Linked DNA regions of Elephas maximus indicus. The protein of the gene in region 1 interacts with the protein of each later gene in a biochemical or structural test. Links are inferred from orthologs where the notes say so. Each region holds a gene or a part of one and is shown in the gene's direction. Other genes may lie near its edges.

Region 1 (15,448 bases):
CCTCAGAGTCAGTTTAGGGACTGGTGGAAGAGACCAACAAGTAAGCAAACTTGATAAGCATGATAGGTGTGTGTTTATGGCACTCTTGAAACAAAGAGGAGGGGTGGGTACCTAATCCAGGCTTTGGGTGGGGAGGAGAGTGATGTGGGGGAAAAAGAAAAGGACCCTTGGGCCCATATTTGAAGTCTGAGTATGAATTAGCTCAGTGGTAAAGGGGTGGGGCAGAGAGAATATTCTAGACTACAGGAACAGCATGGCACAGAATGAATATCACGGCATATTTGCGGAACTGCAAGCTGCTTAGTATGGATGGAGGGAATGGCCTGTGTGGCAGAGTGGCAGGAGATAAAGCTGGAGAGGTAGGTACAGGACAGGTCATGAAAGGCCGAATGTGCTGTACAGAGGAGTTTACATTCTGTCTTGAAGGTAAAGAACAGCTGTTGAAATAGAGTTCTTAAATAAGGAAGTCCCATGTGTTTCAAAAAGCTAGGAAGCTACTTAAGGAATTCAGCTGAGCAGTGATAAGGATCTAACCTTGGTACTGGCAGTGAGTGTGAAGAGCAGCAGATGAATTAAATTAAAAAAAGGACCCTGAAAAAAGATTAATCTAGAAAGATGGTAGTGGAGCTGCAGAGATGGTGTTATCTGAAACTTGAAGAGACAGAGGAAGGAAAAGATTTTGTGGTGGCGGTGGTGAGGGGGTAATTTAAGAGAGTGCATACTTATTTGAGGTACTGTGAACTCTTCTGGTAGAAATCAGGAGTCAGATATATATAAATCTAAGATCCAGAATGGTGTTGTCAGAGAGATGCAAGGTTTGGAAGTTTTAAGTATAAAGGTGGCAGTCCACACCATGGATGTTGATGAACATGCTCAGATAGTTCAGGGAATGAGAAGACAAAAAGGGCAAGGACAGAACGCTGAGGACCAATTTACAGTGGATGGGCAGAGGCCCAACAACCCAAGGAAGAGATTAAGGGAATGACCAGAGAGGTAGGATGAAAATCACAAAGAGTAGTATCACAGAGGCTCAGGGAAGGGACAGTGTCAAGATGGGACTTGGTCAGCACTCCCAAATGTTGAAAGAAGTTTACAAATAAGGGCTCAAAAGCGTCTGTTGGATTAGGCATCTAGGAAGTCACTGGTGCACTTAAAGCAGTTTCAGTGGGCAGTGGGTCCTGACGGTGGAAAGCAGTGGGCGAGGAACACATTAGATAGAAAAGGATAGAGATGAAGCTGTAGTTAAAAAGGAGTATAGGGTTGAGGAAGAGGGGTGTGTGAGTGTTAACAACAGCTGGGAGAGATGTAAGTGTTTTGAGGGGAAAGAACCAGCAGAGAGAAAAAGCTAAAGGGACAGAGGGGAGTAAGAGATTAAGCCTGGTTCTTCAGGTGGTGCTGTGACGGGTGGGAACTAGAGCACAAAGGAAAGGGCTAACATGAGGAGGAGCAAAATACCAACAGGAAGGCTTAGAGCCAGAGAGGGGGCTTGTACCAGTGAGCATGGCTGCAAGGGTGAGCATCTCATCCACACAGTCAAACTCGCAGGAGGCCAGCAGGGCTTTGGCCAGCTCAGGGGGCAGGGGGAACTCGGATAGGATGACTCCCAGGTCTGACAGGTCCCCATCATCATTCAGGGCAGCCAGATAGTCTAAGTCTTCCAGTGCCTGCATCAGTGCTTCAGGAGCTGGTGAGGAAGCAGGGGTTGCAGGACCTGAGGCCTCAGAGCCTGGTACTCAGGTGGCAGGACCTGGGCAGGAGGCGTGCTCACCTGGCCGGTCCAGGAAGTGACACTCTCCCGGATCTGCAATCTGTCTCCTTTTTAGTAGTAATACCAGGGGGCTCAGATTCTCCTCACACACCCTGGGTTGGGGCATTGGGGGAGCCTCTAGTTCTAGAAAGGACTCAGGATACAGGCAGATGCAGGATCCTGAGGGGAGAAAGACCTGAGAAAGAATACTGCTGTGGATTTCTCAGGGCTTGTTTGTTGGTGCCTCTTCTCTGGTTTGCTTGCAGCGAGGGTAAAGCTCTCACCTGGTGGGAACCCTCTTGCCCGCAGCCGTCTTGCCTTGGCCTGACACTTGCTGATAGGCCTCAACACTTGGGATTCCTCTCGGATCTGAGGATTGTAAACCTGTCGTCCAACCCCCAAACCAAGGCCAAGACAGATCAGAGTGGGCCATTTCTATCCTTACCTCCCCATCCCCCCGTGTCTCCCTCACTCACACTTCGAAGTTCCAGTCCTGAGTCAATGACATGTCGGATGGAAGGGAGGGAGAAGGAGAAGTCAGCCAGCCAGTGAGTGACCACGACCTTTCGGGCACCTACATCTGTGTCCTCATATACAGCCTGAATGGCTTGACCATAGGCTGGATGAAGGGGCAGCAACCGTGGAGGAGGCCGTTGGGGGTCCAGGGACCCTGTGTCCCTGGACAGGGATTCACAGCACAGGGAAATTTCCTGAGGAGAAGTGTAGGGTATTAGGGCAGTTCTTATCTTTTTGGGTTACAGACTCTTTTAAAAAACTGATGAAAGTGATGGCCCTTCTTTTCACCCTGAAAAATGTACACACTCATAAAATTGGAAGTGTCATAATTGCAGGGGTTCACCGAATCACAAATCTCTTCATTAGAGGGATTCAGAAAGAGAGAGATAGACCTCTTCATCCTGAGATCCTTGAGTTTTTCCTCAGGACCCCAACAGAGAGCAAATACTACAGTTCCACTGTTGCCCCCTTTCCCCCAGGTCAGAAAACAGCCTACATGAATATCCCCTTTTGCAGTGCTTTTTTTTTTTTTTTTTACCTCCTCACTGGGCAGGTACACTAGCACATCACCTGGAGCCTCCTCTTGGCACAGCTCAAGCACAGCCTGGCAGGCAGCTTCCACCCGGTCAGCAGGGACACTGTCCCTGTAGAGGAGGGTGGGAGTCCCGCAAGGCTCTCTGGGAACATGCACAGTAGGGGGATTGCCCCAGAAGGCTTGGAGCTTGGGTTCAAGGGCTGGGTCAGTAATGACCACCACTCTGGAGTCCCCTGGGAGGTTTCCCAGCTTGGCATCTCGCAGCAACCCCTGGAGTGAATCCGAGGCCACTGACCGCTCCTGAGCCTCATCCACCACCAGCACGCCCCAGGCTCCAGTGCCCCGGGTTGAGGCCACCTCCTGCAGGAGCAGCCTGTCCCAGCAGAACCTGTTGACATTGGTAGCAGGGAGCAGAGGAGTCAGTGTGGACACTGGCCAGCCCCAGAAGTCCAGTGGAGCTTCTCCCCCAGGGGACCTAGATTTTGATACTGAAGTTCAGAAAGAGACCCTGTGACTGACTTCCTGAGTCTGTAGACTCATAACTGTGACCCCACAACCCCACTGAGGACACTTTGTTCACAGGCTATAGCCCAACTGGGAAAGCAATACTTTCGTAAATGTCTGAGGTCCCTGGGTGGGGTTAAAAGGGCTTTATTCAGCAGTTGCATCATGCCTAACTTCAAGGGTGAATTGGGCTGAGGGAGGGCATGGTGAGATAAGTGGAGCTTGTTTATGCAGAATGAGGAAAATTTGATTTGGACCAGGCCTGCAGGAGGCCCCACCTGAGCAGGGTGTCGGGCCCAGTGCAGTCCTCCTGGGGGATGCTGTATCCAACCTCGTGACCCAGCGTCAGGTCCATCTCGTCAGCCACCCGCACAGCCAGGCTCAGTGCTGCCAGAGGGTAAGGCTGAGTGACAGTTACCTGGCCCTTCTGGAAACCCCTGGCCAGCGCAAACTCTGCACACCACTGAGGGATCTGGGGTAGGAGGGACACCCAGTCAGGGAGATGAAGGACTTCAGTCAGATGTGCTGGGGGAGCTACGGACAATTTAATCTCCTATTTGGGAGTCCCCTGGTCCTTCACTAGCCACACTGGAGCCAACCCAGCCCGTATCCCTTTGCCCATCTCCCCCACGACCTCAAACAGCCCAGTACCCCTTGCCAAAGGAAGTGACAGTTCCCCAGCCCCTCCCTTTGTCCACTCCCAGAATCTCCCCGCACCTGGGTGCTCTTGCCAGAGCCAGGGTCCCCAGACACCAGCACCACTCCACTGGGGCTACTCTCCAACTGCTCCAAGAAGATAAAGCGAGCAGCCCAGATAGGCAAGGCTCGGCGCTGCTTAAGCAGCTCGTAGTAGCGGGAAGAGAAGGGGAGCCCATCAAAGGGGTTCACAGCCAGTTCAGACTCCCCAGGGTTTTGGCCAGACTCTTCTGCCAGCCCGAGGGGCTGTGAAGTCATGGTGGATGTTGGGCAGGACCTATAGAAGGCAGGGTGGCCAGTTAGGCCCCATATTTGGTAACTGAGTCTTCCCGCTTCAGCCCTGATCCCTAACCTCTACCCTCAGATACAGATGCCCTGGGGTCTATCCTTCCCAGAACTGCTTGCCTGCCAGGAAACAGTGCTGGGCGTTTGAGTATCCGACAAAGGGACTATAAAAAGTAGACTATTACCCTGTAGCCAGGTAGTAAAAATCTTGTGACTAATGCAGGGGTCCTCAGGGGTAGCAGGAATCTGGGTAGCAGGGCCAAAAGGATCCTTGATTCGAACCTGCTTGTAGCTCTGAGACGTGTCAGGATGGCAGCCAGTTCCAGAAGTCACCCAGCTAATTGCCACCAACCCTGACTGCATAAAGTACAAAGGTAAATTCTGGCTCCACCCTGGGACTCGTCTCAAACACAAATCCTTAAGCCTGATCTTGAGGTGGTGCCATTTGCTCCACCTTATTTAACTTACGAGCCTATTGAAAAAGGTTTCAGCCACCACACTGAGCATGTGTGAACCATATGCATGACGGGTCATCTGGTAGTGGAAGGCATCTTGGGAATTGCAGTTTTGTAGCTCTTTCTTCGCAAACCTGGGGTCAACACCCGAGCTGGGATCCGGTTGCTGGTGGGTTTCAGTTGAGTTACTCTTGGCCATGAGGTGATTTCAGACACTTCCATTCTGATCATTCTCCATAAATTCACAAGGAGGCCCTCACTCCCACCCCCACAACCAAGGGAAGGGACCTGCTCAGGGCTTTTGAGACCCAAAGAGGCAACAGAGACCTTGAATGAAAACCCTGAATTTAATGTGACACTGGAGGAGCCCCATCCCTCCCTTTATACCACCCACCCATCCAGCCTGTTGTGAATTGGGTGAGGGCTGCCCCCAGTCCCCGTCCTGCGGCTCTGGGTGCCATCCTGCTCCTCTGAGCTCAGTCAGCCTCCTGGGCCTGTCTCTCTGTGAATCTCCTGTGAACATAGGAAGAAGACATCGTGTGGGCTTTTCACCTGAGCTCCGTGATTCCTTTCTCTAGCCTGCCCTTTCCTACCTTGTCCTCTATCCTCCTCACCTTCTCGCGTATTCGTAAAGTGCCTGCTTGCGCTCCTGCAGGCTCTCCTGCCGGGCCCAGGAGGACTTGGCAAATGTTAGGGCTGTGGGCTGAGGGGTCACCGGGCCAGAGCTGGGGAACTGAGGTGATCACAATGTCAGAAGGCTTGCGAAGTCATCATCATTAAACACGCATCGAGTGCCTACTTTGTAAGAAAGGCACTGTGCTAGCGTCTCAGAATCAAAAAAGAGAGACCAGGGCGAAGGAGTATGAGGACACCCGTTCCCACCCCAAGTCTTGGGCCTGACCCTTATTTTCTGGGTCTCACCTTGGGGGAAGAGGCAGGGGGAAGGGACTGAGTCCCTTCAGTGATGTCTTCAGGCATGAAGGCTACAGCCCCCTCAAGGAGATTAGTGATGGTCAAGTCTACACAGCCGGTCCTGGCTGGGGAAGAAGAGAAAAGAAGAAAGGGTAGTCTGTTACTGCTCACCTTCTCCCCTCACAACCCTCTTGTCTCCTTGTCTGAAGCCACCCTTTCCCATACCCAAGTCTCTTTGGATGACACCCAGTGGCACATGGGGCAAAACCTCCTTGACTCTCTGAGCCAGAGTTGCCAACTGCACATCAGGAGAAAGGCCAGGAGAGGAAGAAAAAGAAGACTGGGCTGCCAAAAAAGAAATTAAAAACATGGTAAGTACAGAACCAGGAGAAAGGAGAAACTGACTAGCACAAGGATAGGAAGAAAATCACAGTAGGATGAAAAATGAAAAGCCTGTGTACAAGGACCACACACCTGATGAGGGACGTAATCTGGGGTGTCTTTGTCGCTTCATGTGCTCTGCTTTGTCTGCTGGAGTGAGCCGTGTACCTCTCTGGCCCAATTCCTTGGCCATTAACTAAGGCAAATTGGAAGGTTGGAAGTGTCAAGAACTGAGGCCTCAAGACTTTTTCCATCATCTTCTGGGAAAGACCCCAATTCCACCCTGCTTGTGTACCCCATCACCTGTTGTACCCGGAGAGCAAATTCCTCATTCCCCTCCCCAAGCTGGCGATGAACAGGCTGGAGCCACCTGCAAAGAATAATCCAGGGCCATGTTGGGGGCAGCTGGGGTAAAGGCTGCCATCCCCTCCCCACTCTTGGTACCTCTTCTTATGTAAAGTGGTGGTGAGGGTGGGACGATAATAAATACTTTGTGTTGCCTCTGTGGTGCAACCTTAACGTTAAAAAATCTGCAAGCAGACAAGGCGGAGGTATCTATCTCCTTGACCTTGAGGTAAGCTTCTCCCCAGCCACCAAAAAGTGAAGATAGTTAATACCTTACTTGGTACACCGTGAAAGGGACGAAAAGTGACCACAGCAGTTCTGAGACCCAGGAGGCATCTGACACCGTCTGAGGGGAGGGCATGACGTGAGTCCTGAGCCAGCGCCAGGGGTGAGAAACTTCCCCTCCAAACCCTAGAAATTCCTTGTCCAACACATACTCACCACAGAGACCAGGGGTCTCCGAACTCGCAAGGTAAGAGGCTGTATGACATCCTGGATAGAAAATGGCCAGGAACTAGAAGAAGGAGAGAATAGGAACCCAGCCCAGTTAGCAGCTCCTACCGGACTTAAAATAGGAAACTGTCAAACTGTACAACTAAGCAGATGGAGTATAGAGGGGTTCAGGGCAGCGAGGGCTGACCAGTAAGGTGAAAACCCAAGGGTCCCCAGGGCTGACCACCTTCCCAGTTGGAGCCCAATACCTGTGCTTACCCACCTGAAGTGCAGGAGACCCTCTCGGCCATTGGTGGCTTCCTCCTCAGGGAACAGCAGCAGAGGGGTTGGGGGAAGCCTCCTGGAAGCACAGAATCTCTTGAGTGACTCCACCAACTCCCCGCGTCCTTCCATCTCCATGAAGCCCCGAGACCAGCACACAAAGCTAGGAGAACTGTTGAGCAGAGGCTGGAAAGAGAAAGCAAGAATAATGGAGGGAAACGAGAAAAACTGACATGTGAGACAGATAAGTGGGGCTAAGGGTAAGGGTCAGTACCTTGTGGTCCCCAAGGGAAACCCGAATAGGCGGGCGGAGGGGCGGGCAGAGGGAAGCCTTAGAGCTGGGCCCAAGGGAACCGCCCCCGGGATGCTCTTTGGTTTCGCGCCCACTCACCGTGCTACAGTTGGTAAGTAAATTGACTATGTTGTGGTCGAAAGGTGTCACGTGGTTGGAAATGAGGACTCTGACGCGGTGATCTCGGAGTCTGGAGTCGTCCTGCCGGGCCACGAGCCCCAGCACCGCACACATGGTCCGCACCACGAACCTGGAGACATAGACGCCGGTGACTGCACGGCCTCGGGCCGGGCCCAGCCCTGACCCTCCTCGAGCGCCGGGTCGGAACCTGCGAAGGATGCTGTCTGGCAGCGCGCAGCTGACCAGGAAGACGTGGAGCCCGAGAAACAGGCGCAGGACTAGGAGGCAGAACCCGACGGGCGCGTAGAGCAGCAGCGCGAGGAGCAGGAAGCCGTCACTCGGGAGCCTGTGGGCGAGAAACAGAATAATCGGGCGCCAAAGCCGAGGGGACGCGAAAGTCGGCTTCTTCCCGCCGAGGCTCTTACCGGTGCGAGTCAAAGAGCCGCTCCGGCCCCGGTGCTGGAGGAGGTTCCATCGCTGCTGCTTTAGCGGTGCCCGGCCACGGTCGCCGCCATCTTCGCGCCCCGCCGCAGGGGCTCCTGGGAAGGCAGTCCTTGGGCATCCGCCCAGGGTGTCGGAGCCCGAAATCCCGCAGAGGCGCCCGGAAGGGCTAGTGGTCCCAGCATGCCCCGCGGCCCCTTGGGCCGCCTCAGAGCTCACGTCCCGGGGGGACCACAATTCCCAGCATTCGCGGCGCCGGGGGCGGAGTCGCCTCTCGGAATCCTGGGTCCCGGCGTGCATTTCTAGAGGACTTCAGGTACCGGCGTACCTCGCGTCCCGTCTGCTTCGTCCAGGGCACCGCCTCTGAGTAGGGCGGGCGAGGAGGCAGCCGAGGCGGAGCTGATGGCTGCGCTGAGGGCGGGGCGGGGTGCAGGCTGGAGCCTCCGAGGATTGCGGGCTTTGGGGGGAATTCGCTGTGGAAAAGGATCCCTGTTGACCCCTGACCTCCGTGCCTTGCTGACGTCAGGAACTCCTGACCCCCGGGCCCGGGTGACGTATGGGACCTCGAATCTCCGGGCCCGGTTATCTGCAGGGGTCCCTGAACCCCCGGCATGTCTGACGTCGGGGACCCCGGATTCCCGGGCACGGCTGACCGCGGAGATCCCGGATCCCCAAACCCGGGAGGCCTCAGGGACCCCTGGGACCCGTCCGCGTGTGTGGCTGGCGGTGGCGCTGGGCGCCGGGGGGGCTGTGCTGTTGTTGTGGGGCGGGGGTCGGGGTCCTCCGGCGGTCCTCGCCGCGGTCTCTGACCCGCCGCCCACCTCTCCCCGGAGCCAGTACAACTTCATCGCAGACGTGGTGGAGAAAACGGCACCTGCCGTAGTCTATATCGAGATCCTGGGCCGGTAACGGTGGGGGCAGAGCGGAAGGCACCGAAGCCGCGGGCCGGAGGGTGGGCGACAGGAGGGTCAGAGCCTCCTCACATCCGAGCTGTTCCTTCCTCCCAGGCACCCTTTCTCAAGCCGCGAGGTCCCTATCTCAAATGGCTCAGGATTCGTGGTGGCTGCCGATGGGCTCATCGTTACCAATGCCCATGTGGTGGCAGATCGGCGCCATGTCCGCGTGAGGCTGCCCAGTGGCGACACCTATGAGGCCATGGTCACAGCTGTGGATCCCGTGGCAGACATTGCTACCCTTAGGATTCAGACCGAGGTGGGGGTCAGGGTAGGCCAGGTCTGATTGGAGCTGTGAATTTGCCTCCATCTCCAGTTGACAGGTCTCTTGCACCCATTCTCCCTTAGGAGCCTCTCCCCACGCTGCCGCTGGGACGCTCAGCCGATGTTCGGCAAGGGGAGTTTGTTGTTGCCATGGGAAGTCCCTTTGCGCTGCAGAACACCATCACATCCGGCATTGTCAGCTCTGCTCAGCGCCCAGCCAGAGACCTGGGATTGCCCCAAACCAATGTGGAATACATCCAGACTGATGCAGCTATTGATGTGCGTCCTGGCCTGAGAGAAATGACAAACTAGGTTGGAGGTGGGAGGGAGCTGGTGTGGACACCAGCTGTGATAGGTAGTGGTTGGGCTCCAAACAGGTAGCCACTCATTCAGGGGCTGGGAGAAGAAAGAATTTGGAGAATGTTTACATCCCAGTTATGCCTCTAGGCTTGGAGCCCCGGGATCTCTTCCATGTTTTCTCCTTATCCTACAGTTTGGAAACTCTGGAGGTCCTCTGGTTAACCTGGTGAGTGGGACATCCTTCTAAGAATCCCTGCCCCAGGTCAGTGTGGGAAGGGGGGATTTTCCCTAACCGAAGAATGTTTGGTCAAGTTTCTGAGCAGTCTCTTGTTGGCTATCCCCCAATATCCAGCCAGATCTCCCTAACACTCCGTGATACTCTTGTTCAGGTACCCCCCATCCCCTACTATTTGTTTGGGCTAGGGAACAGGGGCCTGTGTCCCTGCAGGATGGGGAGGTGATCGGGGTGAACACCATGAAAGTCACGGCTGGAATCTCCTTTGCCATCCCTTCTGATCGCCTTCGAGAGTTTCTGCGTCGTGGGGAAAAGAAGAGTGAGCCTGATTTAAGGGAGAAGGGAGTTCCTTTAAGTGGTCGGTGGGGTACAGGGGAGGGGCATTCATTGGGACTTGCTGGGAGAGGGGTCTGTTAGGAGGAGTGGGAGGCGGGAGGAAGGATGTAGCTGGGTGGGGTTCATTTGTCCCTCTATCACAGATTCCTTGTTTGGAGTCAGTGGGTCCCAGCGCCGCTACATTGGGGTGATGATGCTGACTCTGACTCCCAGGTATGAGGGTTGAGGGTGGGCAGCTGGCATCTCTTTTGGGCTTTGATCTCATTCCTGTCTTTAGCCTCATTCCTGCCTCACATGTGGAGCTATTAGAGGAGCTGTCCCCTCTCACCACCTTGACATTTTCACCCCACTTCATTTTGCACACCTGCAACCAGATTGATTTTTATCCTGTTGCTGCTTTACTTTAAAGTCTTCATTCCATTCACCTGGAGTTTGAAGGCCATTTTCCATCTGTCTCCAGTTGAACCTCTCAGAGTTTGCTTCTATTACTTCCTATGTGAATACTGTTGCAGTCACCCTGATTGCCTACTGTTTTTATTTATGCTGTTCTTGTTTCTATAGTTCAATGACAGACCCATCTGATGTTAAGTCCCATTCTCTCCCAAAGCTTCTCTTAGGACTCTAGAATTATTTATGCCATTGATTTAACATCGTGTGTCATTTGGAATTAGCTATCTTTTACGTACACCTCTCACTACCTAAATGCTAAAAGGCAGAAAGTGAATTGTCTTTGTGTCTATAGTACCTAGCACATGGTCTGTCCATAGGGTTGTCAGTGTGTTGATGAGAAACTAAGGTGAACCCAAGATGGGGAGAGTACGTGGATGTGGCTAACAGGGTAATTTGTGTCCTTTCAGCATCCTTGCTGAACTGCAGCTTCGAGAACCAAACTTTCCAGATGTTCAGCATGGTGTGCTCATCCATAAAGTCATCCTGGGCTCCCCTGCTCACCGGTGAGGGCGAGACTGCCCTGTGGGGGGAGTGGGGTGAGGTGTGGGGGGTGGGCACGTGGGTAGGCATGAAGGCTGGGCTGTACACTCCCTCCTTTCTCTTTCTGACCGTCTTTCTCCCTAGGGCTGGCCTACGGCCGGGTGATGTGATCTTGGCCATCGGGGAGCAGCTGGTACAAAATGCTGAAGATGTCTATGAAGCTGTGCGAACCCAATCCCAGCTGGCAGTGCGGATCCGGCGGGGACCAGAAACACTGACCTTATATGTGACCCCTGAAGTTACAGAATGAATGGATCAGCAAGAGTCTGAGGCTCCTGCTGACTTCCTCCTGCCTTCCTGGCCTCAGCTCCGAGGGCACATAGGCAGAGGATTAAATGAACCAGTGGGGGCAGGTCCCTCCAACCACCAGCACCAATTCCTGGGTTCTGAAGACTCACAAAAACACTTTTTATATAAAATAAAATTATACCTAGCAACCTGTTATAGTCAAAACAAGGGGAGGGAGCTGGGTTTTTCCCCCACCAAAAGGCTAGAGGTAAGGCTGTATCCCCCTCTGAACTGAGGGGAGATACTGGAGCTGACCGTCTTGACCTCCCCATTCAAAATAAGTAGCCACTGCCATCTGTTGTTATGGGCAGTTAGTTAGGCGCTGCGTTGTGATGGGCTCGGCTTGGTGCTGGGCCACAGATGCTGACAGCTGGCCTAGCAGGGAGGGTGGTGACTTCTGCTTGGCAGTTCCACATCCCTAGGGCACAGCTGGGGGAGTGCAGTGAGCCTGCTGACATCAGGGATCCCTTGGTAAGCTCCTGAGGTAATGGCAGCCTCGGACCCCTGCCATTAGGGGCCAGTGGTGGTTTGCAGAGGGTGGTGGCACCTTAGATGATCTGGTTGTTGGTCTGGCCAGGGTAGCGCTCAAATCTCTTGTTGGCTTCTTCACTGAAGGCATCACCTGCAGAGTAAACAGGTGGTGTGGGAGGCACTCTGGGCAGAGGCAGGAAAAGAGACCCATTGTGGGGCAGGGTGGATCAAAATGGAGAGGCTGAGAGATCCAGAGGTGGGTGGGAAGACAGACAACTTAGTCAGGAAAAGAGAACGAAGGCCTCCCCCTCACTGCTCATCCATCAAATACCGATGTGGCAGTTGTGCACCCAGATGCGATGTCCGTCGTATTTGCAGTTACATTTCATTGCGTTGTTGGTGAAGTCACTCTCAGCTACTTCAAAATTTGGGTTGATGACCACCTGTGAGTGCGAGAAGGGCCATTTCACCCAGTTGTAGTCTTCAAATCCTAAGGTGCCCCTAACGTTCCTCCCACTTGTCATCTGGACATCTCAGACAGACCCCAAGCACCTGTAGAATGTAGTTTCCTGGCTTCACATCTGTGATGTCGATCCACTGACAGTCGATGTCATGCCGGTAGAGATCCCAGCAACCCACAGTGATGCCCTGCTCTCCAAAGTTGGCGCACTCATACCTCTTGGCGACATCTGAAGGGGTTGGTATATGTCAGTGTGAGGAAAGGCTGTGGGATGGAGACACTAGTCCATTCTAGGCCCCAACTCACCCTCATAACACTCAGTATCTTCTAGACAGAAACTAGCTTTGTGGCCCTCAGCCACCTTGGTGCCATTGGGGGTCAGAATATCGTAGTGAGTGAAGATGTCCATACTGTGGTAGTGCCTGTGGGGACAAGGGGCAAGAGAACTGTTTCCTTCCCTACCTGCAGCAGGCCTGCCCACTCCCTGTGCTCTTGCCTTTCTTCTTTTTTTTAATTAATTTTTATTAAGCTTCAAGTGAACATTTACCATTCCAATCAGTCTGTCACATGTAGGTTTACATACATCTTACTCCCTTCTCCCACTTGCTATCCCCCTATTGAGTCAGCCCTTTCAGTCTCTCGTTTGCTCTTGCCTTTCTACTTGATCCCCTACCCTCTCACCCATGACACTCGTGCCACACCCAGGAGTGGCGGCCAGCCTTAGGCCTGAAGTCAGCGCGTCCCAGGTTGTGGATCTGGGAGGAGAATCGGAGCAGACGCCGGTGGCCATAAGGCCAGTTGGCTGAGCGGGCCGAGCTGGCCAGGCAGTTCTCCTCGGCAGCACAGTACAACATGTGAAGGGGCCGGTCCTCGATGTAGGCCGTCTCCTGTACCAGTGCCGAGTGCAGCAGCAGATCGGACGCAGCTGCCCCAGAGAACGAAGGAGTGTATTAGAAATCACTGCTGAGGAGCAGGGACAAATGGGGGTGCTTCTGCCCACCCCTAGGTGTATGAGGCTGATTTTCCATGGGGAAGGTGTACCCCTCCAGATTTCAGCCCCCTCTTTCCCCACAAAGGGGTGGCCCAGACACACGGGCTTGCAGCACCCTACCCTACACTCACTCTCAGAACAGATGACTCCAGCGGTAAAGCGGGTCCCTGTCCTCTTGCAGGTGATGTGGGGGCTGTGATGAGCACATTGGTCTAGGGACAGCTCGGTCCCTGTGCAGCGCACTCCACTCATCACCAGCTCTGTTATATTCCCCGAGTCCCAGTACCAGGTCTCCTGGGGACATAGGTAGATGGCTCCTTGAGGCCCCAGAAACCAGCCTCCTAGGCCAAGGGATCACATCCACACTCATCTGCCCCAGGCAAAGGCTTTGGAGGTAATGGCCTTGGCTCCCTCTCCCCTTCCCACTCACCTGCAGGCCATGGCTGGCGTAGCCCAGGCCGAGTTGTCTACAGGCCACCATGGCTTCCAGTGTCCCCCAGTCATCCCCACAGATGAGACCCCAGCGAAGGGCCCCAGGTCCTCCAATTTGCACCTCAACTCGCCCCTCATATCGACTGCGGCCCCCACTGAGTCGGATCTGTGATGACGCATAATGGAGGTGTTGGGGGAAGCTTTTGGACCGGGGTGGAAGTCTGTGGTTTGGAGGCACATAAAGAGCTAGATAGTGGTGGTGGAACCAGGCGGGAGCTGCAGGATGGCAGGCCCCTGGCATAGTGGGCTGGGCACATCAGACTGCAGGTTGGAGCCCAGGGCTGGCTGGGATGACTGGTGGAGACCTGAACCAAGGGGGACAGTATGACTGACCTTGGTCTCCACCCCAGTGTACGGCAGGTTGCATCGGACCCCAGCATCCCGGCTATGGGAGCAGTCCTCAGCTGTGATGTTCTTGTGGGGGCAATTCCAGATGGAAGGTTCCTGTCCAGAGCATCGCACTTCACTCAAGTGGATGGCACCCATGCCTAGGGCCAGATGTCAAAGATCAGGAGGCTGTAACTGCACCTTCACTGTCTGCCCAGGGGTATCCTAACCTTCTTCCCAAGGAAGGTACTCCCCCCAGGAGTATATACCTCCTCCTTCCCTCTCCCTTCCACCTCCATGCCCCTCACCCTGCCCCATGCGGGCACCACTCAGAGCCTCTTGAGCGCTCCCGAAGCCCAGCTCCCGACACACCACGCTGGCTGCCAGGAGATCCCACTTGCGGTCACAGACTGTGCCCCACGTGCCAGCCTTCAAGACTTCCACCCGGCCCTCTCCAGGGTGGGATCCACCCTTTAGACGCACAAGGACCTACAGAGGAGAGAGACGTGCCCAACAGCAGTGAATGGAAACATCAGCGTGGAGAGGATTAAATAGACATGGGCATTGCATGAGATTAGTGGAGGCAGGGAGGGGAGGTATCAGGTCTGTGGCCACTCCCTGGAATGTTCCTCTCTGTCTTCGAAGGTCAGGGCTGTGCTTAGTCAGGGGATGGCCAGGCTAGGGGTTTTTCCACCTGGGGTGGGGAAGATCATAGTCATTGTCTCACACACCTCCGCCTGAGGTTTCCACTGTTGTTGCTTCTTCTGGCCACTGGAAGCAGCGTAGAGAGGGCCTGACACACAGCTCACCACCGCAGGGGCCCCTCCAGGGCACCTGATCGTGTCATTGGCACGATAGAACTCCAGGGAGCAGAGGGAGAGGTGGGCCTCTGTGCCCACACACGCCACCCCGTGCAGACCAAAGAAGTGTTGCTGCCGCTGGGCCAGCAGCCTGGGGGGACAGGAGTGGGGGACAGCAGGATGAAACAATGCTCCTGCCTCTCTGCCCACACCTTCCTCCCACTCCATGCCTCACCACCCTGCAACCTCTCCTGACCACTTTCTCCCTTCTTCCCTCCTTCTCTTCTCTGTTTCCCTCCAAAGAGACAAAGGAAATGCCAAGTTTCTGGGCTGAAAGAGCCTAGAGTACCCAGACAGGAAGACCCCTGGGGACCTCTGGCAGCAGAAGAGCCCTATGGGAAGGATGACTAGTAGTGATTTGCCTGACAGAAACCTTGTTCCAAATAGTTGGCCCTAATGGAGGTTGAGGCTAAGGCTGTGTTGCAAAGAGAAAGGGGGGCCAGGGCTGCCCAGCTGGATGAGATGGCCAGGAGGGTGTGGCTGACACAAACAGGAAGCCTGAGTAGCCAGAGCGAGCGATCCCTCTACTGTGCTGAGA
Region 2 (15,524 bases), on another chromosome or scaffold:
GCCTTAGTGAACATCTCTCCCTCCCTATAGTTAGCAGCCAATTTCCTATTCATCCAACTGGTCATCATTTCTGCATTTTTAAACCAAAATAGTAAATTGACAGCTAAATATTTTGACGACATTTCAGTAAGTTTAACCACAGGCTCTGGGCACTGCATGTGATCAAATAGAATCATTTGTGATTAGACACGTTAGGGTTTAAATGTTATCTCTGTCATTAACAAAATGATTTTGAGCAAGTTGCTTAATATTTTAGTATCTGTTTGCTCAATCAAAATATGGAGATGAGAGCTGCCTCATGACCTTTTTGTTTTTGTGAGGATTATACAAGATAATGTCTGTAAAGCCCTTAGTGCCTGTCGTGCGGTTAGCAGTAAATAGCACTAAATAAAGAGTATATTCTTTTTTATTATTATTATTATCGCTGTATCTTAAATGCAAAAAGATAATCAGTATTTGTCAAATAAGTCTCTATGGCATTTTGAACAACTTTTTTAATAGATATACCCAGGATTTTGCCTATACAATCATCAAGAATCCTTCTCTGAGTCGTTCCATTACAAAAGAGGGTTTATTCCCCTCATATACAAAATCTTGATTTGAATTGAATAATTTACTTCCCCAGATCAAATAATTCTGGGAGCTAAGCAATTTGCCTTACATGACTCAGCTATCACCAAGAACTTGCCTATTTTCTCCGTTTCTCCATTGTAGGATAAAACACTAGTGGCTGCTCAGGTTAGGATGAAATGTGGTTTTTGTGAAGTCCCGGAATGTCTCTGGTGATTTCAGAGAATTTCTCCTCATCGAGGATCTTATGGTATTAAAAAGACTGAATTGTGTGCACAATGGCTTGATGATTGGGCCAGAGTGCCACTGCCCACTAGTTACTGTATTTAGTTTTTGGACAATTGCATTTCCTAGACAAGTTTCCTTTATCGGATTGTGAATTGCTGCCTTGTTGAAATGCTCCCCAGATTTCTGAGGACAGATAACTGGGAGAAATCGTTTTCTAGCGATGTATACTTCTTGGAATAGAATCTCCCTATTGATTTTATTACAAACCACAAAATTAGCATGTCATTGAATGAAGTGTATAAACAGCCACAAAAGCAGACAGAACATCAGCTACTCAGCTCCACCTTTACTTCTTGTCCTCCATCTTGGAAAAAGGTAAGAATTTCATATATAAGTTTAATATATTCCCTTTTAACCACTGATTTCAAGGTAAGTTGAGATATAGAAAGATCATAATTGTTTAAAATATATTTTTTCTTTTTTTAATTGTGCTTTAGGTGAAAGTTTACAGCACAAATTAGTTTCTTATTCAAAAATTTATTGCAAGTTTCGTGACATTGATTGCAATCCCCGCATTGTGTCAGCATTCTCCCTCTTTCCCTTTCCACTCTGGGTTCTCCACGTCCGTTCATCCAGTTTTCCTGTCCCTATCTGCCTTCTTTCTTTGCTTTTGGGCAGGTGTTGCCCATTTGGCCTTGTATACTTGGCCTAAAACCATGCTCCTCACATGTGTTATTGTTTGTTTTATAGGCCTGTCTAATCTTTGGCTGAAAGGTGGACTTCAGGAGTGGCTTCAGTTCTGAGTTAACAGGGTGTTGGGAGGTGGGGAACATATTCTCAGGGGTTCCTCCAGTCTCTTCAGACCAGTAAGTCTGGTCTTTTTGTGTGTGTGTGAATTTAAATTTTGTTCTACATTTTCTCCTGCTCTGTCTAGGACTCTCTATTGTGATCCCTGTCAGAGCAGTTGGTTGTGGTAGCCAGGCACCATCTAGTTCTTCTATGCTCAGCCAACGGAGGGTGAGGTTCATGTGGTCCATTAATCTTTTAGACTAATATTTTCCTTGTGTCTTTGATATTCTTCATTAACCTTTCCTTCTGACAGACAGGACAAATAGATATATCTTAGATGACCACTGGCAAACTGTAAAAAAATTGTAAAAAATTTTAAGATCCCAGATGCTACTCATCAAAATAGGATGTAGAACTTTTTTTTTTTTTATGACCTATGTTATGTTAATTGACAGAGATCCCCCCCTCCACCAAGACTATAGTCCCCACCCCTTAGCCACAGTAACTCAGTCCCTCAAGGTGTTTGGATGTGTACAGCAAACTTCCATGTTTTTGCTTTGGTCTGGTTATGCTAACTTCCCCTATATTGTGTGTTGTCTTTCCTTTCACTAAAATTAACACTACTCTACCATCTAGTTTTGTTGAAACATCCCAATTGATATTCCATCAATTCCTGGAGCCTTGTTTTTCGCCAATGCCTTCAGAGCAGCTTGGACTTCTTCCTTCAGTACCATCAGTTTCTGATCATATGCCACCTCTTGAAATGGTTGAATATCGACTAATTCTTTTTGGTATAATGACTCTGTGTATTTCTTCCATCTTCTTTGGATGCTTCCTGCATCGTTTAATATTTTCCCCATGGAATCCTTCACTATTGCAACTCGAGGCTGGAATTTTTTCTTCAGTTCTTTCAGCTTGAGAAACGCCGAGCGTGTTCTTCCCTTTTGGTTTTCCATCTCCAGCTCTTTGCACATGTCATTATAATACTTTACTTTGTCTTCTCTAGAGGCCCTTTGAAATCTTCTGTTCAGTTCTTTTACTTCATCAATTCTTCGTTTTGCTTTTAGCTGCTTGATGTTCGAGAGCAAGTTTCAGAGTCTCCTCTGACATCCAGCTTGATCTTTTCTTTCTTTCCTGTCTTTTCAGTGACCTCTTGCTTTCTTCATGGATGATGTCCCTGATGTCATTCCACAATTCATCTGGTCTTTGGTCACTAGTGTTCAATGTGTCAAATCTATTCTTGAAATGGTCTCTAAATTCAGGTGGAATATACTTAAGGTCATATTTTGGCTCTCACGGACTTACTCTGATTTTCTTCAGTTTCAGCTTGAACTTGCTTATGAGCAATTGATGGTCTGTTCCACAGTCAGCCCCTGGCCTTGTTCTGACTGATGATATTGAGATTTTCCATCGTCTGTTTCCACAGATGTAGTCAATTTGATTTCTGCGTGTTCCGTCTGGCGAGGTCCATGTGTATAGTCACCATTTATGTTGGTGAAAGAAGGTATTTGTAATGAAGAAGTCATTGGTCTTGCAAAATTCTATCATTCAGTCTCTGGCATTGTTTCTATCACCAAGGCCATAGTTTCCAACTACTGACCCTTCTTCTTTGTTTCCAACTTTCGCATTCCAATCACCAGTAATTACCAATGCATCTTGATTGTATGTTCAATCAATTTCAGACTGTAGCAGCTGATAAAAATCTTCTACTTCTTCATCTTTGGCCCTAGTGGTCGGTGCATAAATTTGAATAATAGTCATATTAACTGGTCTTCCTTGTAGGTGTATGGATATTATCCTATCACTGACAGCATTGTACTTCAGGATAGATCTTGAAACGTTGTTTTTGACAATGAATGCAACACCATTCCTCTTCAAGTTGTCATTCCCAGCAGAGTAGACTATATGATTGTCCGATTCAAAATGGCCAATACCAATCCATTTCAGCTCACTAATGCCTAGGATATCAATGTTTATGCGTTCCATTTCATTTTTGACAATTTTCATTTTCCTAGATTCATACTTCGTACATTCCAGGTTCCAATTATTAATGGATGTTTGCAGCTGTTTCTTCTCATTTTGAGTCATGCCACATCAGCAACTGAAGGTCCCGAAAGCTTTCCCCCATCCATGTCTTTAAGGTCGACTCTACTTTGAGGAGGCAACTCTTCCCCAGTCATCTTTTTAGTGCCTTCCAACCTGAGGGGGTCATCTTCCAGCACTACATCAGACAGTGTTCTGCTGCTATTCATAAGGTTTTCACTGGCTAATGCTTTTCAGAACAAGCCTCCAGGAATTGATGGAATGTCAATTGAGATGTTTCAACAAACAGATGCAGTGCTGGAGATGCTCACTCATCTATGCCAAGAAATATGGAAGACAGCTTCCTGGCCAACTGACTGGAAGAGATCCATATTTATGCCTATTCTCACACGCAAGCAAAATTTTGCTGAAGATCATTCAAAAACGGCTGCAGCTGTATATGGACAGGGAACTGCCAGAAATTCAGGCTGGTTCTAGAAAGAGGACGTGGAACCAGGGATATCATTGCTGATGTCAGATGGATCCTGGCTAAAAGCAGAGAATACCAGAAGGATGTTTACCTGTGTTTTATTGACTATGCAAAGACATTCAACTGTGTGGATCATAACAAACTATGGATAACACTGTGAAGAATAGGAATTCCCGAACACTTAATTGTGCTCATGAGGAACCTTTACATAGATCAAGAGGCAGTTGTTCAGACAGAACAGGGGATACCGATTGGTTTAAAGTCAGGAAAGGTGTGCGTCAGGGTTGTATTCTTCTACCATACCTATTTAATCTGTATGCTGAACAAATAATCCAAGAAGCTGGACTATGTGAAGAAGAACAGGGCATCAGGATTGGAGGGAGACTCATTAACAACATGTGTTAGGCAGATGACACAACCTAGCTTGCTGAAAGTAAAGAGGACTTGAAGTACTTACTAATGAAGATCAAAGAGCACAGCCTTCGGTATGGATTACACCTCCACATAAAGAAAACAAAAATCCTCACAACTGGACCAATGAGCAACATCATGATAGATGGAGAAAAGATTGAAGTTATTAAGGATTTCATTTTACTTGGATCCACAATCAACAGCCATGGAAGCAGCAGTCAAGAAATCAAAAGACGCATTGCATTGGGTAAATCTGCAAAGGACCTCTTCAAAGTGTTGAAGAGCAAAGATGTCACCCTGAAGAGTAAGGTGTGCCTGACCCAAGCCATGGTATTTTCAATCACATCATATGCATGTGAAAGCTGGACAATGAATAAAGAAGACTGAAGAAGAGTTGACTCCTTTGGACTGTGGTGTTGGCGAAAAATATTGAATATACCATGGATTACCAAAAGAATGAACAAATTTGTCTTGGAAGAAGTGCGACCAGAAAGCTCCTTAGAAGCAAGGGTGGCGAGACTGCATCTTACATACTTTGGACATGTTGTCAGGAGGGATAAGTCCTTGGAGAAGGACATCATGCTTGGCAGAGTACAGGGTCAGTGGAAAAGAGGAAGACCCGCAATGAGGTGGATTGACACAGTGGCTGCAACAATGAGCTCAACCATAACAAGGATTGTAAGGATGGCGCAGGACCGGGCAGTGTTTCATTCTGTTGTGCATACGGTCGCTATGAGTTGGAACTGACTCAACAGCACCTAACAACAAGAACAACTATCTAGTTAGTGGTTTGACCTCCGTACCCCTCCTCTTTCTCATAACCATCAAAACTGGTTTTTTTTTTTTTCCTGTCTAAACCTTTTCTTGGGTGTTTAAATAGTGGTCTCATACAATCCTTTTGTGATTGACTTATTTCACTTAGCATAATGCCCTCCAGAGTCATCCATGTTGTGAGATGTTTACAGGATTCATTATTGTTCTTTATTACTGTGTGGTATTCTGCTGTATGTCTGTACCATAATTTGTTTATTCATTTGCCCATTTATGGGCAGTAAGTTTGTTTCCATCTTTTCTGCTATTGTGAATAATGCTGCAATGAACATGGTTGTGCTTGTGTCTATTCATGAGATAGCTCTTATTTCCCTAGGATATATTCCTAGTAGTGGGATTGCTGGATCGTGTGGTTAAAATATTCTCTTTGGAATAAGAATGTTTAAGATAGTTCAGACTATTTTCAAAACTTAGATTAAAAAAAAGAAAAATAGGAGCACCTGGTAGGATATGGTAAGAATTATGACCATATAGACTTAATGAGTTCAAGAAAATGTATTAATTTTAAATATATATATATATTGTTTTAGGTATATATGTATATATATACATTTAGTACAAGGCTAGTTAATAGGCTATATTAAGAGGAAATCAATTTCTTGAGTTAAGTCTTCTGATTTGATTTAAAACATCACAGTCATAAAACAAATATATTAAAATTATACCGAGAATGCTTTCATTGGAGTTTACAGAAGTAGTATATTGAGTAAAAGACTCAATATGGCTTGACATGTTTTAAAATAATTTCATTTTATGAAAAATTTGTCTACAACATCCAACTTTCTAGTTTATTACCTAGTTTATAATATTTCAAAATAATATTAGGATAGAGATGTGAAAATAGAGAATTAAAATAAAAAGAAATAATGTACTTGATGTTGTAAAAAAATTTAACATTGCACAGAGATGACTTGGTACCAAATAACAAAGAAAAGGTATGATTTGGAAAAAAAAGAGCAGCTTTTAGTGTTGATATCAGTCAAAAATGAAGTTCTGGCTGAAAAGCTTGTATATAAATTTAAGGAATGCAATAGGATTCTCCTTATATGGAATAATTTCTAACAGACTATCACATTCTATATTTGAATCCTGACAATACAAATTTATTCAGAAGTTTATGGAGATCTTAAGCCAAAAAAAACTAAACCCATTGCTGTGGAGTTGATTCCAACTCACAGCGACCATATAGGAACGACTAGAGTGCCCCTAGGTTTTCCAAGGAACAGCTGGTAGGTTCAAACTGCCGACCTTTTTGATCATCAGCCAAATGCTTAACGATGGCATCATCAGGGCTCCATGGAGATCTTAAAGAAAGTAAAATAAATAAATAATTATATAGCCACCGTGAGAGAAATCTAGAAAAATGTTTATTTTCTCTAATAGAAGAATTAAGTCTTGAAATATTAGAAAGGACATTTTACAGATGATTTAGGGACTTTTTTTATCTGAAATGTGTTTAGTTTACAAATTTAGTTTAATAATCTGAGAATGAAGTTTGTGTGCCTCGGGATATTATATCAAAAATATAATTTTTTTCACACAAAAAAATATATATAGAAAATGCAGCGAAAGCAAGCAAAAAAGCCCAGTTAGTAAGTACATTTGCGTCAAAAGTGTTATATACATTTCACCAGAAGAGATAGTGAGGAAAGGGTAGGATAGGGAGTCCAAGAGGACCTGACCTCTTGGTAAATCATCTAGAGATTGTTGGACACATTTTACGGAGAGAAGAGAAGCGGCATAACATAGGCTTTCTAGAATCATGTGATAGAAAAGAAAAAAGACATCATTAGGTTCATGGGGGTTAAAACTCCTTAAACCCAGTACCCAGTTTCCTCGAGTCGATTCTGGCTCATAGCAACCCTATAGGACGGAGTAGAACTGCCCCATAGAGTTTCCAGTGAGCGCCTGGCAGATTCATACTCAACCCTTTGTTTAGCAGCCGTAGCACTTAACCACTGCGCCACCAAAGACTCCTTGGTGGGTACTAATAGAGAACAAACCAATGAGTCCAAGAAAGCATCTGAATAGAAGAATAAATATAGGAAATGCTTAAGTTAAAACCTCAGTCTATTGGAGATAGGAGATGTGATTAAACTATACATTCATTGAAACCCTTTCATCTAATAAGGGAAAAATAAATATAAAATATGACCTGGGAGAAATCATCTTCTTCACACACATTTTCCTTAATTAGTCTTCGCCCCAAAGAACTAAGCCTCCATCAGATCTGAGACCTTACAGCTTTTATTCACCGTCTCCCCAGCATATGAACACTGTCTGGCAATATAATGTGCTAAATGAATATTTTTCAAACATGATCAATTAAAAAGTCTTTCTGTAAATATCTATAACATCTTTATACCTATCTAAAATAAATTAATAAGTGAATGAGGTGAAAAGAGTGGGTGAAAGGTTTTAGAGAGCTGAAAATATCTGAATGGCTGGCAATAAAATTTGAATATGATATGTAAAAACAGGGAGCCACAGTAAGATTTTGACTTTGATCACATAATAAAACCTCTATCCATATATATTTTTTCTATAATGCAGACATTTTTATGACATGTATTAACTTTTTAAAGGCAAAAAAATAAATAAATAAAAATAAAACCTACCTAAATAAGAACTAGATAAGAAAATACATCGGATTGATCCAGTATGTTTCTGTTTCTCCATCTTCCCTTTCATAGGAATTGATTACCATGAAGGTCTTCATCCTTGCCTGCCTGGTGGCTTTTGCTCTTGGAAGAGAGGTAAGTACGGAGAGAAGTTTCTAGATAATTAACACATAATGGGCTACCGGACTAGGTGTAGAGAATAATATCACCAACACTCTTAAGTATTCAAATAATGCAGAATTTTGGCAGAATATTTTGACTTCTGGAAGAAGCCCTCGTGGTACAGTGGTTAAGCAATCAGCTACTAACCAAAAGGATGGAGGTTCAAACCCACCAGCCACTCCGTGGGAGGAAGATGTGGCAGTCTGCTTCTGTAAAGATTATATTCTTGGAAACCCAGTGGGGCAGTCCTACAGGGTCACTATGAGTCGGAATCAACTTGATAGCAATGGGTTTCTTTTTTTTTACTTCTAAGAAACTGGTTTACATACACCCAGTGTCTCAACTCAGCTGCCTACAGGGCCACAAAGCTGTGCTGAAAGCTTGTAATGCCTCGTCTACCAGTCCCTGGAGGAAAAATAAACAAACTAATAAGCAACAAAGAAAACAAGGAGGTGAAAGAATTATAAAGGCAACAAAAAAGAGTATTATTGCACAAATAAAATTTCATGGTTGTGAAACTTACATAAAAATATGTTATTCCATGCTAAAATATGTGTATTCTTAACTATAGGGCACTAGATCAAATCCTATCTGTGTCTGTCCAAAGACACACAGAGAATGGAGTATCAGGCCATACCCAGATAATCATAATAAATGGTTTAATGCAGTTTAAAATAACTCATTTTCTATTACTCATCTAAAGTTTTGTGCTGTATACAGGTAGCATAATAATTCTGAAATAAATTTATGAAATAGATAATTCTTCATAAAGGAAGTGACGAAAAGTAGGAATCATGATTAATAGTGAGTTAGCCATAGAAACTAAAATAATGTTTTTTCTTTTACAGAAGGAAGAAATTATTGTATCTACTGAGGTAAGATATTTAGATTCAGAGGAAGTTTCCCAAGGACAAAATAGTAACATTCTATGGTGATCTATGACAAGAGTCAGCCAGTTTTTTTTTTTTTTTTTCTTTACAGACTGTAGAAAATCTTTCAAGCAGTGAGATAAGACAATTTTATTCAGAGGCGATTTCTCAATTTTAAAACATGCTATGCTTATCTTTTTATTATGTTACATTATGGTAGTTAAGCTAATTTAACTATGTTCTGATTTACAAATTCTAATGTAAATTTCTAATATAACACGTTTATGAAGACTAACTGTCTGGAGAATTCAGTATTATAGTAGTTTCTAGGTTGGCTTCCTACTTGAATTTGTAAGTCACTTTGCTCTCTTTTTATCGATGGTACAATCTGTTTTGTCTCTTCACTTTTAACTGAGCTCTCTCTGCTCTGACTTCATTGTTTTGATAGCCATTTGTTGAGAGCCTTCTACAGATGACATTGCCTAGGAGTTGATGATACAAACTGAAAAGTTAAGCACGTCAATTCCGATAGCAAAGAGATTGTAATGTAGTGGTTAGGCAAACATGCAAATGGACATATTTTGTAATTACAATTGTCACTTTAATAAGTAAGAAGCAACGAGACACAGACAGTGTAGTTGTAAATCTGCCAGGTGAATTAGGTAAATATTTACCCTTGCACCACTATTTTTGGGTCTATCTTTACCTGCTAATTAAATATATTTTTTTCTCTTCAAAAAGTTTGTGAGATCCTTAGGAGAAATGTTTACTTCTTATCCTTCGTTGGCATACATATTGTTAAGCCTAGCACATAACAAGTGAACTTAGAATGATCAATAGGATAGATCAATGGTTATTAGAATGTACTTTCAATGAATATTATACTTTTAGAATCAGATAGGGTACTAGAGATCACTTCTTGTCATAGGAAGGATAAGGGTAGAGAAGGATTAAATTAGCATCTATTAAATACATCTTTTTATTCTATGTTCACTAGCTTTCTTTTCTGATTTGATTGCATTTATCTATCTGTATGTATATACATAAACAGGCTTATATAGAACAGTGTAACCTATTAGTTTCAGCAATTATCCTAAATCTTGACTGATATTATTTAATAACGTGTCCATATTAACCTATCAAAAGCCTTTGTTTTCTGAGATATATTGACAAATAAGAATTGTTCACTTGACTAGAAATCATTAAAACTCAACCTTATTTTTATTTTTCTGAAGGAATCTGTTACACAAGTCAACAAAGTAAAACCTTCACATTTAAATGTACATATTTTCCAAAAATTTCCCATGTTTAATTTTCACATATGGTGATAGTTTTTTGTCATTTGTTTTTTAGCAAAAACCTGAGGGAGTTAAGCATGAGGAACAGCAAAGAGAGGTAATTTGCTCATGATGAGTATATTTCTAAAGTTTTTAGGAAGTATGATACCTACGAAAATATTTATTCATTAGAAGAACTTATATGTTCAGTCTAAAGAATGGTAATAAATTAAGTGCTGTGTACCAACCAACCAGGGTAAGAATCAGGCATTGACAAAGTCATTATATTTTCTCTGACATAAATGCAGTTTTTAAACTCATAATCTATTCCCAGAGTACAAGTTAAATCCCTAAGACTAACTGCATAGTAGGAGGAATATTCCTAGGTCAGAAACTATGCTCATCTTATTCCCAAGGTAGATATGGTAATGAAAAGGAATAGGGAAGCAATCTGGCACAGAATCCTAACTTACTCACTTTTCAGTTGTGTAACTTTGGCCTCAAGTTTTCTGTGCCTTACCTTCTTTATCTGTAAACTGAGAATATTAATAACAATATTTATACCATAGAGTTGATGAGCTGGCACATAATAAATACTCAAATGGTTTCATACTAACATTTATTGAATATATGAATATATGATATTTTTAAGAATATTTCCATTACAAAGATGAGAGAAGAGAGGTACAGAGCAACTGAGTACCTAATTGTGTAACAATATCAGAAAGTTATTAAGTAGCAGAGTTTACTTAAAAATGAAGGCTTTTCCTGAACAACATAGAATTCTATATTTAATCAATTTACATTTATAGTAACATATTTACCTAATTGTAGTATTTAGGATCCCCTGCTTCATCTAGGAAGATGGATTGTTTGGTGCTCACACCAAATATTTATTAAGTTAAAATGAATTTACAAAATTGTATTTCTTAAAAGATTCCAGCTAGTTACCTTCTACCAAGGAGAAGAGTTGGTTAATGTTAAATAATGTCTTGAATTTTGCCAAAAATTAAGACTGGCTTTTCATTAAAATAAAGCAAAAATAAACCTTGGCATTATCCTTCCGAATCCTTTAAAAATAGATTCCTCTTTATTATGTGAAAACAATTGGGTCTATTATGAACACATGTTGAAAAGCCCATGTCTTCAGAAGACCAAAGTGAACAGCTACAGTTATCTAGGGAACTGGAAAAGGTGGAAAATGTCTTGAAATCTCCAAGCATTGTTTTCAGCTTGAACTGTGGGTTCACCTATGAAGTGAGTGGATTAATGAGAAATCCTCAAAGAGCATTTTACTCAATATTCTTCCCATAACTCAAAATGATTTCTTAACCAAGATAAGTGCAAGGTGTTCTATCTTTATTTTCACTCAATGACAACTATGTGTGTTTTGACAACTATGATTCTCCAAGAGGGAGAAGAGATTAATTCATCATGAATGACAATAATAACTAAATCATAGATTCAAAGATTCCTTTTCCTTCTTTCCAGGATGAACATCAGAATAAAATCCAGCCCCTTTTCCAGCCACAGCCTCTAGTCTATCCTTTCGCTGAGCCCATTCCTTATACTGTCTTTCCACCAAACGCCATTCCTCTTGCTCAGCCTATTGTGGTGCTGCCTTTCCCTCAGCCTGAAGTAATGCAACTCCCTGAAGCTAAAGAAATCACCTTTCCTAGGCAAAAATTGATGTCCTTCCTTAAGTCTCCAGTAATGCCCTTTTTTGACCCCCAGATCCCAAATCTTGGGACCGATCTTGAAAATCTGCACCTTCCTCTGCCTCTGCTCCAGCCCTTAAGACACCAGCTCCACCAGCCTCTTGCTCAGACTCCAGTGCTTCCTCTTCCTCTATCCTTGCCCAAAGTCCTGCCCGTTCCCCAGCAGGTGATACCCTATCCCCAGAGAGGTAGACCCATCCAAAACCTTCCACTGTACGAAGAGCCTCTATTTGACCCAACCCGTAAGATCTACCCAGTGGCTCAACCACTTGCTCCAGTTTATAACCCTGTTGCTGTAAGTTCAAATCTACTTACTGAGTTGTTTCACTCATGATGTATGTGTGATGTTAGCATAAAGGAGAACTCTAGAATTAAAAAAAAAAAAATGCATACATGAATGTATCCCAAAAAACACACAGTTTTAGATCAGTGATTCTCAACACAAATATGCAATAAAATCACCTGAAGGACATTTTTCCTCCACCAGAGAGAATTCCAATGCCTAAGCCTATCCACAGGGATTATGGTATAATTGTTCTGATTTTTTGGGAGAAGAAACAGAGTGTTGGGAAGAGATGCTTTCAGGGATTCTTATTTAACTGGTTTGTTGAGAACTTCTGAATTAGGTAAAGAAGATATGGGCTTTTTAAAGCCAGAATTAAATTTGATAATCTGATTGGGTTTGGAATAAAGACAATTTATTATTTTCTGCAGTTTTGAGTTTTTCTTGTGTACACCTATTCCCCATGTGCCTTTATTTTCCTTCACAATACCTTAATCTTGATATATACATAGGATGTTTATTTCATTACTCAAAGCATTCTTAGGGCAAGTATTCTTGCCAAGCTGTGAATTGTATATTTATATACATTTTTGCTTATTTTTAAGGTCTAAGAAGATTACAAAGTTAATGCCCCCTTCTTACTTCTGGTAAGTTTTGGGAGCTTGGGAATTAAACTAATTTTTCCTATATTTAATATTTTTTGGCATTTCATTGTCTTGGATAAGCCCAAGATAGTATAAACTCCATCAATATATTAACTTATTTATTTGTTAATTATCAGTTTATTCACAATAGTTGACTATTATTTACTGACCTGATTATATATCCTTTGAATTTCAATTATTGCTTTTAATTTCATTTATGGCTATTGCCACAGATTTGACTGGTTTGCTTTCAAGTAGCTTATACTTGATTATCACCTTTTTTAGGAACAACAAAAATAATTTTCTTCTACTTTCATATAAATATATTTGAGGTATTTTTAAAGATAAACTTGCATTTTTATATCTAACTTGGACTTCATAAGATTTTAATTGTTTTTATCACATTTAAAATTTATATATTTTCTTTTGATTCATGAGTCAAAATAAAATTATTTGGTCCAGGTGTGAGGGCTAAAAATGGAAGAGAGGCTAGCTTTGGGATTCCTAAGACATGAATTCTTTCATGATCATGACAGACTAGATATTTCATGAAAACAGTTCTAAGTGAGCTGATATTTAGTCTCCTAGAAACTTTTATATGCTCCCAAAGAAGGGCACAGCAGGAAACATTTGTAATTAAATTTCTCTTATGAGTTAATCCACTAAATTTACACATAGGAAGAAAAGAGCAGTTTTATCATTTACCATAACTAATAATATATAAAAATATATATATATATTTTCTCTTTATTCCACAGAATTGACTGCGACTGGAAATGTGGCATCTTTTCTTTGTATCGTGTTATCAAAAATGAGTTATTTTTGAATGAATCTACATGGAAATAGCCAAACATTATTTCTTCATTTATTTTGTGCATTGTATGGGACTCCTCTTGATTTGAATTTTACTCATACATTCTTCACACTCTTCAATTTTTAATTCAATTAGTACCTTATAAATTCAATTTTGAATTGGCAACCGTATAAACACATATCAAAAAATATGTATAAAATAGTTTCTGAAATTGTGCTTATTATTAGTTCTTTAAAAATGTATTTCCTTTCCAGTCTTTCTAAGAAATTAATCTTTTTAGGCATATTTATGTTGTCCTGTCTTTATTACAATTTTATAAAAGCAGTTAGCCACTTTAATGATAACTTTAGATTATTATTGGTGTTGAAAATAAGTATGGAAGAATGCTTTGAAATTGAGTGACTGTATCATTAGAAGGATATCAAAAAGTAGAGGAAGAGATAGAATGATCATACATTCCAGTTTGCTTTACAATGTCTAGGTTTACATCTATTGTCCCAGTTTAATTGTTATGACTGTGCTTTTCACTCAAAAGTAGCTGTAATTAGATGTTAAATTGTATGGCCACACCTGGGTAGCACAATTAGCCCTTATCTACTAGCCTAAAAATTGGCTTCAAACACATTCAATGGTGCCACAAAAGAAAGGACTGGCAATCCATTTTATAAAAATTACAGCCAAGAAAACTCTATGAAGCAGTTCTACTCTGTAACACATGATGTCTCCACGAACCAGAATTAAATGTTTTGTTTTTAGGGAACGAATTTTAAATGTGAAATCTGAATCACGACTCTGACACATAATAACTAAGTTAGGTTAAAGAAGTTAACCAATCTCTCTGAGCTTCAGTTCTCACATCTGTAAAATACTAATTCAAAGGTTTTTAATAACAGTGATATGATTACTGCACTGTATTTTTTTTTATAGTACATGATAGGTAATCCCTGTTGCTCAACATTGCTCACATACTTACACCAGAGCAGTAGGAGCCAGTATCCCATCCAGAATAAACTGGGTTACTTAATAGCAATGCCAAAGAAAGTACGACCTACATGAAGTTCTGATATTCATTCTTTCTGAATGTGGAGTAAATGTTTCATTGTTATGATTTGTCCTTCGTATACCAACCCCTCCTCATGTAACGTGATTTCACATCCTCAGATATACACAATGAGTTGTATCTAGCAATTTTTCTTGCATCCTAAAAGTTTTCCTCATCTCCAGGGATCAAGCAGGAGCCCCAGCTGGAAAAGAAAATAAGGCAGATCAGAATAGCATTAAAAAACTAAATTGTCATAGGAACTACAGCTCAAAAAAGGAAACCAAGATCAATGTGTTAACATAAATAGGGCTACTACCTATTGAAACCGAAGATTTAAATAGTCTGAGTTTCCTAACATAATATCCAAGGTGCCCAGGATACAATTAAAAAGCCCTGAAAAACACAACTTGGATGATAAAATATAGTCAAATGACTCCAACTCTGAGATGAATCAGATGTTGGAATATATGACAAGGGTTTTAAAACAGCTACCATGAAGTATTCAAAAAATGTTTTGATGAACCATCATGAATTTGCTTGAAACAAATGAAAAAAAATAGGTTATAAAAAAGAACCAAATAAAAATGATAGAACTTAAAAATACAGTAACTGAAAAAAAAAAAGCTTGTTGGATTTTCTCCAATATTAGGGATGAAACAGAAGACATCATAATAGATATGGCAGCCCTTGAAAGGAAAACAAGGGAATGTTATAAACAACTTTACACTTACAAATTTGACAACTTAAAAGGGA

The links.
Region 2: of the proteins of HTRA2 (region 1) and CSN2, one has a biochemical effect on the other in vitro, tested with the Homo sapiens proteins (2 studies listed by BioGRID). The link is inferred for Elephas maximus indicus from reciprocal best matches to the Homo sapiens genes HTRA2 and CSN2.

Annotation. Positions count from the first base shown.
Region 1 is NC_064835.1:61,302,098-61,317,545, reverse strand, and holds HTRA2 (serine protease HTRA2, mitochondrial), read left to right. Parts: upstream 1-8,282; 5' UTR 8,283-8,345; coding exon 8,346-8,848; intron 8,849-8,950; coding exon 8,951-9,155; intron 9,156-9,244; coding exon 9,245-9,439; intron 9,440-9,653; coding exon 9,654-9,686; intron 9,687-9,890; coding exon 9,891-10,014; intron 10,015-10,174; coding exon 10,175-10,244; intron 10,245-10,888; coding exon 10,889-10,984; intron 10,985-11,105; coding exon 11,106-11,271; downstream 11,272-15,448. Other genes in the region: ATP-dependent RNA helicase DQX1, read right to left, coding at 1,493-1,684, 1,769-1,927, 2,032-2,131, 2,224-2,457, 2,802-3,186, 3,581-3,774, 4,020-4,256; lipid droplet-regulating VLDL assembly factor AUP1, read right to left, coding at 5,215-5,251, 5,353-5,471, 5,660-5,775, 5,876-5,995, 6,125-6,227, 6,335-6,401, 6,649-6,722, 6,818-6,890 and 4 more; LOXL3 (lysyl oxidase homolog 3), read right to left, coding at 11,858-11,931, 12,112-12,223, 12,333-12,469, 12,547-12,662, 12,922-13,165, 13,363-13,525, 13,662-13,829, 14,057-14,211 and 2 more.
Region 2 is NC_064823.1:88,171,467-88,186,990, forward strand, and holds CSN2 (beta-casein), read left to right. Parts: upstream 1-8,046; coding exon 8,047-8,097; intron 8,098-9,105; coding exon 9,106-9,153; intron 9,154-10,346; coding exon 10,347-10,388; intron 10,389-11,761; coding exon 11,762-12,283; intron 12,284-12,876; coding exon 12,877-12,882; 3' UTR 12,883-12,905; downstream 12,906-15,524. UniProt on the Homo sapiens protein: Important role in determination of the surface properties of the casein micelles.